Linked DNA regions of Drosophila melanogaster. The protein of the gene in region 2 interacts with the protein of the main gene of each other region in a biochemical or structural test. Each region holds a gene or a part of one and is shown on either strand. Other genes may lie near its edges.

Evidence for each region.
Region 1: the proteins of RpL5 (region 2) and Fmr1 form a complex in vitro, tested with the Drosophila melanogaster proteins (2 studies listed by BioGRID).

The regions. Positions count from the first base shown.
Region 1 is NT_033777.3:10,107,069-10,111,868, forward strand, and holds the start of Fmr1 (fragile X messenger ribonucleoprotein 1), read right to left. Parts: upstream 3,054-4,800; 5' UTR 2,748-3,053; intron 2,541-2,747; exon of another isoform or gene 2,456-2,540; intron 2,156-2,455; exon of another isoform or gene 2,004-2,155; 5' UTR 1,908-2,003; intron 1,844-1,907; 5' UTR 1,822-1,843; coding exon 1,627-1,821; intron 1,275-1,626; exon of another isoform or gene 1,162-1,274; intron 412-1,161; coding exon 362-411; intron 1-361. UniProt on the Drosophila melanogaster protein: Polyribosome-associated RNA-binding protein that plays a role in neuronal development and synaptic plasticity through the regulation of protein synthesis of mRNAs.
Region 2 is NT_033779.5:22,531,748-22,538,672, forward strand, and holds RpL5 (ribosomal protein L5), read right to left. Parts: upstream 5,138-6,925; 5' UTR 4,793-5,137; coding exon 4,790-4,792; intron 4,632-4,789; coding exon 4,368-4,631; intron 4,308-4,367; coding exon 3,870-4,307; intron 3,847-3,869; exon of another isoform or gene 3,711-3,846; intron 3,317-3,710; coding exon 3,122-3,316; 3' UTR 532-3,121; downstream 1-531. Other genes in the region: CG17490 (uncharacterized protein), read left to right, coding at 6,565-6,925. UniProt on the Drosophila melanogaster protein: Component of the ribosome, a large ribonucleoprotein complex responsible for the synthesis of proteins in the cell.

The DNA of each region.
Region 1 (4,800 bases), on a different chromosome or scaffold from region 2:
GGCGTTGGTCAGTCTGTCAGTCAGCAGTTTTATTTGATTTGGCTCATTTTTTTTTTCTTTTTTATCAACTAATAGCAACAGAAACTGCTGCAGCGGCGTCTGGCGTTTAACAAATTGCGCCAAATTAGTGAGTCCGCAGTAGGGGATTCGGCGGGAAGTGGTTTGGCGGATGGCGGACGACACAAATGATGCGTGCCCAGAATCTCTAATTTCTAATTCGGATGCCAAGAAGTCGCGTCGGTGGTTGTTGCTGCTCCTGCTGCAGCTCTGATTGTATTAATCGTTGCAAATTAGTTAGAAAATACGCTCTAGTTGTTGTTGTTTGCCCTGTTCGCAGATTTGTTTGTTTAAACAAACTTACCCGTCCACATCCACAAAGATGCCATCATCGGCGACAGCTGTCACCTGGCCCTGTTGTTGTTGTTGTCGTCGTCGTCGTAGTTTTTAGTTTGCAGTTGTAGTTTTTTGTTGGCGGCAGGCAGGCAGCAAACGGATGAAATACAAGAGCATTGACAGGGCCAGCATCGGAAGGCATAGGAGTAGAGAGAGAAAAATGTGTGTCATTAATGTGGCCATTGCCTATGATATACCTCCATTCGGATGTGTGTATATGCATAAGTATATAAAATATATTTTTACGATAGTCCCCCCAATCCCGTCCCATTGTGAAATCGAGAATTGCAATGGCATTAGCGAGGGAAACCGTATATCTCCGATAAGCGAGTAGTCGTAGAACCTTATCCGAAATGCAAACAGCCGACAGCTGAATCATCAGCATCAGGGAAGTCGCTCTAGTCGAGTGTGTTTATGTGCATTGCCCTTGTTTTGATTCCAAGCACTGAAATCAAAGGCAACGCTATGCAAAGTATTCACTACCTTACTATACATATCCAGAAGGTTTCCAGAATAGGTTAGCTAATGATGGGGATAAGTACTAAGAACAATAATTGAAAGTATAAGAATATTCTTAAGTGCACTGTTATCTGGTTTCCAAAATGTCTATATTATCATTGGAAAATTTAAGCCTATAAGCATACATTTTTGCTGAATTTGTTTAAACAGTGAACAATAAAACACATCAAAAGCTAGCATTATGAATGGGATTTAAGACTGAACTTCGTTCATAAGACTAATGATTCGAGATCTAACAACCTCGTATACCTGTAATCTATCCGCGAAAATCACTTAACCGCGATATAAGATGGTTTAATCGGATCTTATCTTTATAAATTGCAACGACAAGAAAGGGAAATCATCAAAACAACAAAACCGAATGCACGACGACGTCAGTGGGCAGCGCAGTGGGCGGCGCGGTCCGCGTCGACATCGACATCGACGTCGACGTCGGCACCCCCACAACGCAGTGTGCGTGAGTGCGTTGGTGTATGCAGATTGGCGATGGTGCTGGTATTAGTGTAGTAGTGGTAGTGGTAGTGGTGGTGGTGGTGGCGATGATGTCGAGACTCCACTCAAAATGTTGCTGTTTATTAATAGAAATAAAGCTAAAATCCACGAAATTAGAAACTGAGGCAGCTGCTGCCCCAACTCCTTGCTCCTCTGTTTTTCCTTCTTTTTTTTTGTCACCCCCTTACCAACATTTTTATTCCACCAATTGAATCAACTCACCTTGTAGTAGGCGCCATTGTCGAGCCGAACTTCCACGAGGAGATCTTCCATATCGCCAGACGTAGTGCCTCCTGGTTTATCCGCTTTGTTTTGGTTCTGGTTCTGGTGGTTCTTCGCCGTCCGTCCCTGTCCCTCCTGCTGCTGATGCTGATGCTGCCCAGCCTTCAACTCCCGACTTTTCCCCGTCGACTGCAGTTTGCCGCGTTATCTGGGGCTCCTGAGGGGGAAGAATGGAGATATTAGGGCTATAGATATAGCTAGGTATGGGTGGGTATGCTCACAATTCAGTGTGCAGTGGCAGAAACCTCGCGTTCCTGCTTCTAGTTCCTTGTACTCAAATCAGTCTTTTGCTTGGCGGCTGCTGCTTCAAATGTTGCCTGTAATCAATAATAATATGGAATGGTTTTGTTTTTGGTATTTTTGAATTTTTGTATCTGGAGAGGGAGACTATATATTGACACACTAATAAAAAAAATAGTTGAAGAAAATTTTGAAGTTATTTTGGGGGCCAGATAATTCCTAGCTAAACACTAAATGCAGCTGGCGGCGAAGCCGGCAGCGACGTCGGCTTTGCCGGCAGCGCAGCAGCGCAGTGCTTCCTCTTCTTCTTTGTCTCTCTCCCTTTGTGTGTGTGAGCCCGCCGCCTCACACACACATGACCACCACCAAGCGTGTGCGCTCTCGCTCTCTTTTTCTCTCTCTCTCGCCGCCGAAATGCTTCGTTCGTTCGTTCACACCGATGAACACGCTTTTCCAATAAGAATTTGTACGCACACTACGAACGGCACATGCCGAATTTACATATCGAATTTACACATAATTTCCACACTTGCTTTCGATTTTCGCTTTTCTCAAAGAGAAGAAACATCAGCGTTGCGTAGCCGCTCGCCGTTTTTCTCGTTCTCGTTCTCTACTTTTCTTTTTGTATTTTATCGGTTTTCCTCTTTCAGCTGCTCCCTTTTGCTGCCGCTGCCGGCAGAGAGGCGGCGTCGCTGCTGTCGTCGACGTCGCAGCCGCCGACGATGTGCAAAATTTTTTGGTTTTTTTCGGTTCTTGCAAAATTTTTTCAACACTTTTTGCGGCTGTAATACACAAGAGACTGCAAATTTTTGAAAACTTACTGCTGGCCGGCACTTTTGCACTTCGTTTGCCCTCGGCGGATGCCTGTGAATGCGGCTTTAACCTTTGAAAATACAAAATATATCGCGTGCAGTGCTGCTTCAATTTTTTTCGGCTGCGCTGCGTTCTCTTCGTTTTGCTTTTGCACACTTTCGCAGCTCGGCAACGTTCTACTGGAGTTGCCACCCGTTTACAATCGGCGCGCGTTACTGGCCACTTCGGATGGTTTTGGCTAGATTTCGGGCGTGTTTGGCCCAAGCGATAAATTTGTGAAAATAAGATACGAAATTTTTGATAAATGATTTGTGCTCTATAACACAGGGCTTGTTTGAAAGCGAGAGAAAAATGATCTGACAGTAAAGTGGCAAGGCTGCTAAGTGACAGCTCACCGGGCCTTGCCAGAGTGACTATAAGTTGTGGGTTCACAATAAACAGGGTTGTATTTTAAGCGCGCTAGGCGGTTACGATTCGAAATTCAAAAAGCTGATAAGATCATTTAAAATTTAAATGAAGTCGACGAACCGAACACTATTGACTGCTCACTTAGTTTGCTGTCTGCTAACAACGTAATTGAATTGCTAGCCCATCAGCAGATTGATTCGCATGTTTGGTGGCTTTTCAATTGATTCGATTCGATTTTAATTTGCAGAACTGCTGACCACTACGCCTTAATGTTAATGTAATTGTCTATGTAATTGCAACGACTGCTGGGGTCAACAGTGGGCGCAATTTGCCACATGCGGTGTTTTATTTGCCCCTTTGATTGCCCCCAAATCGCGTGACGTCGCTGGCGCTTTTTGTCAACACGCTTGTTGAATTTGCTTTTTACTATTTTTTTTTTCTTATTTTGCCCTTCCATTCATGAAACGCATTTGATTATGAGTGGCCGATAAAGGTGCAGTGCGGTCTATTTGTAATCCAATTTCCATCAATTTTCAGCGGATCGGACAGCAGAAATCTGACGGAGTACTCCATTTAGGATGAAACCACATATTTGCTTGGAACTACTTAATAAGATTTATGAATTATATTTGTGAACTTTACTCTTGATTAATAAGTGGGCAAGTCTAAAAGCTCGCCTGTATTTAAATCGCATGCCATTTAGGCATTTGTGTGGTGAAAATGGGCCAACAAATTATAAAAATTCATGGCCAGTCAGTTAATGGGAACCATTAAATCCTTTATATGCCTGTGAATAGTTGGAAATTCTGTGTCTCTGTGCAAAGGCAATACCCTCTACTCGCCATTTTCGCATTTCCCAGCCTATTTGCAGGCAGATTCCGTTAAAATCCCATAACAATTTTCCATACAGGGTATCAAGATTCGCAATTCGATAGTCATAAATTACCGCTCGTGTTGACGGTAATTACTGTCAAGCGGCGATTTGTTGCGGAAATGCAGTTTCTGATTTGATTTTCCCGCGCCCTTGCCCACCAGTTAACCACCCCTATTTCAACCGCTTTTCCACTGCCGAGGAAAATGAGAGCAGCTGCCGTTTGACATTGACTTTTGTTCTACCTTTTGGCACATTAACTGCACTTTAATGACGTCGACATGGCCAACAAAAGAGCGAAAGTTCAGCGACGACAGCCCCTCCTCCTCTCGCATCTAGCCATCTCGCTCGCACCCCAGAATTTGTCCCGCTCAATTAGCATTATGTTCGTTTCGCGATCGGATTTGAAACGATTCGGTTCGGGTGCAATTGCAGTGCAACAATTGGTCACTTCGGGCACTAAATTAATTTAAATTCTAATTTTAACCGCGTGGAGGGATCAAGTGAAATTTATTTGCCAAAATGTGACAATCTCGATCGTGACAGGTACGTCACTTCCTCTCGACGTAAAATACACTGCGAGGAATATTCGGGCAAGTAAATTTTTCAATAATAAATAAGATAATACATTCCTTATAAAAGGTGTTCACTGCATTTGTAATTATAGTAACATAAAGAATTCGCGCATAAGTGTGAATATTAATAGAAATAAAATTCAATAAGTTTAGTCATTCTCAAATTGCTGGAGCAAATTCTGAGCAACAATACCCTTAATACGAAAG
Region 2 (6,925 bases):
ATGTGTGTTGTTGTTGTATTCGATGAGTGTAGACTTCTATACCTTGATTTAGTGTGTGTTTAAAATCTGGAATTATTTTGGCAATATTATTGTCTCCTTTTTATTGTTCATAGTTTTCTTCGGTTGTAAGGTAAGAATGAGAAGTGTACAAAATAGGGAATGTATATTTGTTCCGTTACATATTTCTTATTTAGTTATATTTATATATATATATATTTTTATTATTATTTGTGAATCTCCATCACATTGCGCTTTAGTGACCTATTCGATTCAGTTCGGTTGCGTCCGGCATGTCAAAGTATGATTTGACTAGCCTATGTGACCTGTTCAACCATGTACTGCTTCGGTGTCCAGCGCTATTTGTAATTCACGTTTGCTTGTTTTTTTTTTTTTTTTTTTTTTTGTCGTCCAAAATGGAACTAACTGTGCTTTTATTTTTCAGACTTAAGCTAAGCTAAATGTTTACAAAAGAATTCTAGTGTTCGTTGGCAACATGTATATATCGAAGTGCTGGTGCGGCGGTTCTTGTTTCTTAACCGAGAATTGTCGCAATCACATCCTGTCAAAGTGCTGTGTCTGCATTTGCAACTCGAATCAGCTCATAGGGGCAATGACTGTCTTGGCGGCTTGGCGGGTGGTACCGAATCGTGTATACTCTGTACTGTGATATCGGTAACTCCTCCCCCCTAAAATGAAGTGAATCAGCTCATAGGGGCAATGACTGTTTTGGCGGCTTGGCGGGTGGTACCGAATCGTGTATACTCTGTACTGGGATATCGGTAAGTCGTGCGCTCGGATGTTGAAATAATGGGCAGTTAGTCACAACACGCGAGGAGCCATACGTATGCGGGGATTGACGAGAAGAGTACCGGCGCGAGTCGCGCGGTCAGGACAGTCTAAATAGAGTGTTAAGGCGAAGGCTAGAACGTCCGGCAGTGAGAAGTCACTGAAGATCGAACTGTGAAACTGTCTGGCAATGAGAAACGCACAGACCAAAGAAGGCCCAGTCGAACAGGCACGTGGTCCGTTGTCAAGGAAACTCACTACAACGATGGCAAGGCGATGCAGGAGCAAGGGCGCAAGTGACGGCGATCACCGGAGGAGTCAGCTGTAAAATACTTCAATAAAGCTACTTTAATCTGAAACCCTGTCTTCTTCTCGGTCGGGCAATCACAAAAATATAAAATTGGTGGGACGAACCCACAAGCTCTTTAAGCTAGCCGCTGCAACTCGTACCGAGCAGAACTAAGAAAAACAGTTCATTACACTGGGAAAACTTCAGTAAACACAACTATATGGGATGCAAAGGAAAGGCTATGAGAATTCAAATAAGTTAGTTTGCTACGCAAGGCTCTATCTTTTTGATAGACGTTAGTATTTTAAGGAAGGTCATGGACCACTGCGGATGGTGCAGTGGTCTGGACGGGCCCCTTTTCTTATATTTTTATCCTTGGTTTCCAAGTATTTTACCGCCATAATATAAATATATATGGAAATGGTTAAAAAAAAGCTCATTAGGGACAGTTATTTTAAAAGATGAAATGCCACTTGTGTAAGAAAATTGTATTTTTGAGGGGTCATTTGTGCCGGTAGTCCGGACTCAATATTCACTTGTGGTCATAAACTAATCGGGACAGGTGGATAGAACGGAATCTTTAGCAATCCCAAGCTGGACTCCCATCCGCTGCCGATGTTAGCAACATTTGTGGATTTGCTACGATTTAGAACTGTGATCAGCTGTGGATTCCTGTTGCCAGTGGCTGCGTGGCGTTTCCCTTAGGCAGCCAACCATTAGCGGCTTTCTTGTGCTTTGGAAATTCCTCTAAAGGCTATTAAAATGTGAATCTAGCACAGAAAGGAGATCATCAGCTCAACGAAAACTATCTCTAGCTACGCAAAATTAAAATTAAACTTTATAGTACAGAAAGAGATCAGTTTGCACGATTAGAGGTTTAGATTTTGTTTGGGAGAGCGAGAGAGCGGATCCACAGTGCAGTGCACAAAAACAACATGAAACAGCACTACGCAACGAACAAAAGAGATAGTAAACAAAACACAAAGACAAAAGATTTAGTTAATTTCCTAGTGCAAAAATAAAAAAAAACACACGTAAAGCGAACGGAGTTTTAATAATTATCTTTACAAAATTAAATTATAAAAGAAATTTTTAAAAAAGCCTCCTCTGGAGACCAACCTTTTTCTTTGGGAATATCATTTGAATGGAGGTTATGGTTACTAGATGTTAAAAAAATTATCAGGAGAGTGCTATAGTTCAAGCAAAGACACTAGAATTCTAGGGTCTTTGGTTCAAGTGATCGACTTAGATACTCAGCTTATGGGAACACAAGTAAAACAAAGCTAGTGTGAATGCGAACTCAAATTGAATTATTTTTCTGGGATCTTGATAGATATTAAGAAGTAAAATGAGAAAAAATTTAAAAATTGTACCAAAGTGTGGGCGTGACCGGTTCGGCGGCTTTTGGGCGTTAGAGTAGGCATGGCAAAACGTTTTTTGGCAAATGGCCAAAAATATATGGTTCAAAATGTGGGCGTGGCAGTTTTGTGCAACTTGTGGGCGTGCCAACATGGCTCGAACTTGTGCTGCGTTTTTGTCTCTGGGCAGTCTGTGGGCGTTTACTCGTCATAGTAATTGGCAAGAGTAAAGTGTGAGCGTGGCCCTTTTTTATGCTGTTTTTTTCTGGCCAGAAATGGCTGTGTATTTGAATTAACTTGTCTTAATTTGCCTTTGGAATACATTACCTACCAGAGAAATGTTAAGCAGTGAATTGATGAAATAGTGTTCCACTGCGGCCGAAACCGAATTAAGTACACAAGTTCCCATCTTACCATTAATGACTCTTAATTTGTAATTTGTACGGAGGGATGTGGGGTTTTTCTAGATTTAATACCGATTCAGTTCATTCCTCACTTAAGGTAATTTTGTATTTAGACTAGTATTGCCCCATTTCTGTCACATTTCTCGGCCGCACACTACAGATTGAAATTTTTAAGAAGAGTTTCCCAAATAATGGCTGTTAATTACTACCAATTGTCGCTGGTGTCATTAGAACTGTTTATTTATTTTTACACCAATATAAACTGAAGCTGGTGACGAACACTTTTAAGCCTCAGTTTCAGACTGCAGCTTGGCAACATATGCTGCCTTATGAGCTGCAATCTTAGTCTTCCGTTGCTCGTTTGTGAGTTTCTTAGCATTCCACCTTTTCTTCGTAACGGCAGAAGACTTCTTAGCGGTGACCTTGTGTGTAGGGTCGTTACGAATTGCCTGGTGGGCTTTTTTATAGATATCCTCAAGCTGCAAAACCAAAGTAATGAATTAGACTTTTAATAATTAAATCAAGATCAAATTGTTAAAGCTCATATTTTTAAGACTAAATAATATATATGGTTATCTGAATTTAAATATACAATATTTGATGAAAAGTATGGACCAGGTTGAAAGACAAAGCAGTATATGTAATATGGATCAAGATCGCTAACACAGTCGATACGCAACATAAATTTTGAGAGCTCGGAATCTGAAATTCAACATACAGATGCACGAAGCATAATAAGATCAGCCCTTAAGGCAACAGGAGCATTATCTGCTCGGCTGGTGATCATAATCAAGGCATATATTGTCCAAATATGCTTTTTAACGAACCTATTATGTTATTTAATTCGCGAGTATTTGGATTATAAATTGTATAAAATGTGTAACCATAACAGGAAGTGTGATCCATTGGGAGAAAAACTTCGAACATAGGTTGCAGATTTTATGTTGTCCACTTATGGCACAGTTAGCGTCGTGTGCGAAACGCAGCTGTAATTTTTTAAGTGGACGTCTTGAAAAACTATGTAGTACTTACATCATCAGCACGAATGCCCAACTTGATGTATCGGCTAAACTGCCTTTTGAAGCTCTCCTCATCCTCCTCCTCCAAAGAACGCATATAGTCTGCAACGTGCTGGCCAAATATATGAGCGCGATGCACATCGGCATTAAAGCTCTTGGTTTCAGCAGAGTATCCAGGAAAGCGTTTCACAGAGTGAGGTATGTTTAGACCACCATCAACTGCTCCCTTCATAGCGCCAAACACACGGGCACCAGTTGTAGTACGAGCGAGTCCAACATCCAAGAAGCAACGGAATGCCCCTGGGCCGTCATCAACAGGCTCGACGTTGAACTCCTCACCAGTCACTTCAGTGCATCCTGCATATAGGGAGTCCAGTCCCAACTTGTTAAGGACACGACGGGCGACCAGCAGGCCTGTGCAGTAAGCAGCAGCGTAGTTGGTCAATCCAACCTTAAATAAATATAATGGGCCATCAAGTTGAGTACGCCAGAACGCAGTGGGAAAACTCACCTGGATCCCGTATTTGGGAAGCTCATGGGAATAAGCAGCGCACACCACGCGATCACCCTCGATGCGAGCATAGGCGATCTGTACTGTGATGTCCTTGTTGGACAAACGTACGATCAAACGGTACTTGGGAGTGTTGTACTTGTTCTTGTCCTGAAATGTTAGGCGTTTCCTGGCATAGTAATCGGTCTTTCCTTCGCGACGCCTTCGGAACTTGACTTGGTACCTCTTAAAGTACTGCTTGTTCTTGACTACCTTAACGAAACCCTGCAAAAAATAAAAACAAATGCAACTAATAAGCCAAACTTTTTAGACGCCTGAACACATCATTTTCTCGGCACGACCAAATCACTTATTTCAGTATTTATCTTAATAAATAAATGCTCAATGTTTCGAGTCCATGCTCGCTTTTCTATAGCACCTACCATTTTAAAATTTGATAACAATATAACCGCTAAAATAAAAAAGATTTATTAAAATCACGTGGAGTAGAAATATTTTACACATACCTCGCCGGAAATTGCTAGCAAAAAGAAGGAAAATAGTGCGGCCTTATTGGATCCAAGAAACAAATGTACTAAAAAATACCTTACAATAAAAATAATAAATGCCAATATAAGGCAAGACAGCGTCAAAGGCACAGCACAACTTATGGAACACTTGGAAATGGTGTCCAATTTAGAATTATTTATTTTCGATATTAAGTTGATAAGTTTCCTTTCCAGAATAGTGATGTGGAATCAGATTGACGTAGGTGTTAACATTCAACAACGCAATTTCTTAAAGTACGAAACAAGCGATGTGAACGGTATGAACGATATGACAGGTTTACACTGCTAATCGCATTTAATTTCACTTCAATAGCCATGTGAAGTATGACAATTAGATCAAGTAATGTTGTTAAATGCTACATTGTCTAACTGAGTTGTCTTCACAGATAGGGACGAAATAGAATTTTAAACTGCAATCACTGTACTATAATTTTTATATCCTCTGCTCGAATATATTACGGATTTTTTAATCGTATACTATACTAGATTCAATGAAAAATATGTACAGGTAGAAGGAAGCGTTTCCGATTTTGTAAAGTATATCAGGCATGCTCTGATAATAAAAAAATTTTAAGGGTATATTAAGAGTTGGCTTCTTGATATTGCCCAAAATGTTACCAAATTAGACAAAGGGTGACCCAGGAGGAAGTGTAACATCGGTTAAAATGGTTGGGACGTCCGCTTTAAGCTTCAGAGAAGTGGAAATGTGTAAATGTATAGCTTTCACATTAGAGTGAATATAAGTAAAATTTATAGGCTTGGAAAGATAGGCGAAATTCAATAATGAAATATAAGCCACCTAAACCCAAAAAGACCTAAAACCTAAAAGAAATATTTAACGTCTTATTATACGAATTAGTTGTAAATTAACTTCGACGTGACTACACGAAAATACACATATTTTTCCAGTGAAATCTATAATGAATAGCGCAAGTGTCATGTCTTTCGCTAGGAACTGTAGCATCGGCTTAGAGAATCTTAAGGCCGTTATATCTATTTGAACCAGTTCAGTCTTTCCTTGACCTTAAACACAATGTGACCCAAACCATGTTTCTCAAGTTGTGAAAGTGATAATAAAAAACTACTGGACCGATTAGCAATGCAATTTGTTGTGAAGATCCCGAAATTTTTTGAGCCTTTTTGAAAGTGTTCGTTTCCCCATTTTGCAAACATTTTAGTTCGTCGCCGATAAAAAAACGAGTTTGTTTGGCGACAGTGTTTGATTTGATTATTTCTGACTCAAATGAAATTGTGGCCAAAATCACAAACTAAATAACTAAAACATATAATTGCTTTGGGCAAACATTTATTTAAAAAAAAATATGTCTTCATTCTTCCCTACAAATCGACTGCAAAAATTATATTTGTAGGGTCTAGTATCTGCTTATGACTCGTTCGAATAAAAAAACGTATCTGCCTTGGCAATAAATATAGTGGTTAAATTTAAACCGCCCGACCGATTTCTCGGCTTTAAGTTTGCCTAACGCTTTTGTTCTCGTAATAGTGAGATTAGCACCGAAAATGCTGGGATGTGCTTAGTGGGTCTTTGTTGTTATACAAATGAAGATTAGTTAAGGAACTCTCCTTATAAATAAATAACGTTTTACCGCTTTATACTCGCCAAGGTCGCACTTATAATCACATTAACCATGAACCCGTACAATAAGTTTCAAGATATGGTTTTAAAGCAATGGTTGGTCATGGATGATGCACTTTTCCAAGCATGTGGGTTTTGTCTAGTTGCGGCATCTGATGACCAGTCGGTGTTTATCACTTGGGACAAGTATTATTTGCTAAACATACGCTTTAAGATGCCAGAGGACAGCTGCAGGATAAAAATGACTGCTGTGCGAATTCCTGTGCCTAAAAGTGGAGGAGGCTATATTAGGAGTGTGCATGCTTTGAGGTACAATACGATTCTGCATATGTCGAATGGGGAGTTATACAGCTTTACCTCATTTAAGGCCCTGAATCTTATAAAATGGCTCAATGCAGTTCGTTGTTTAGCTA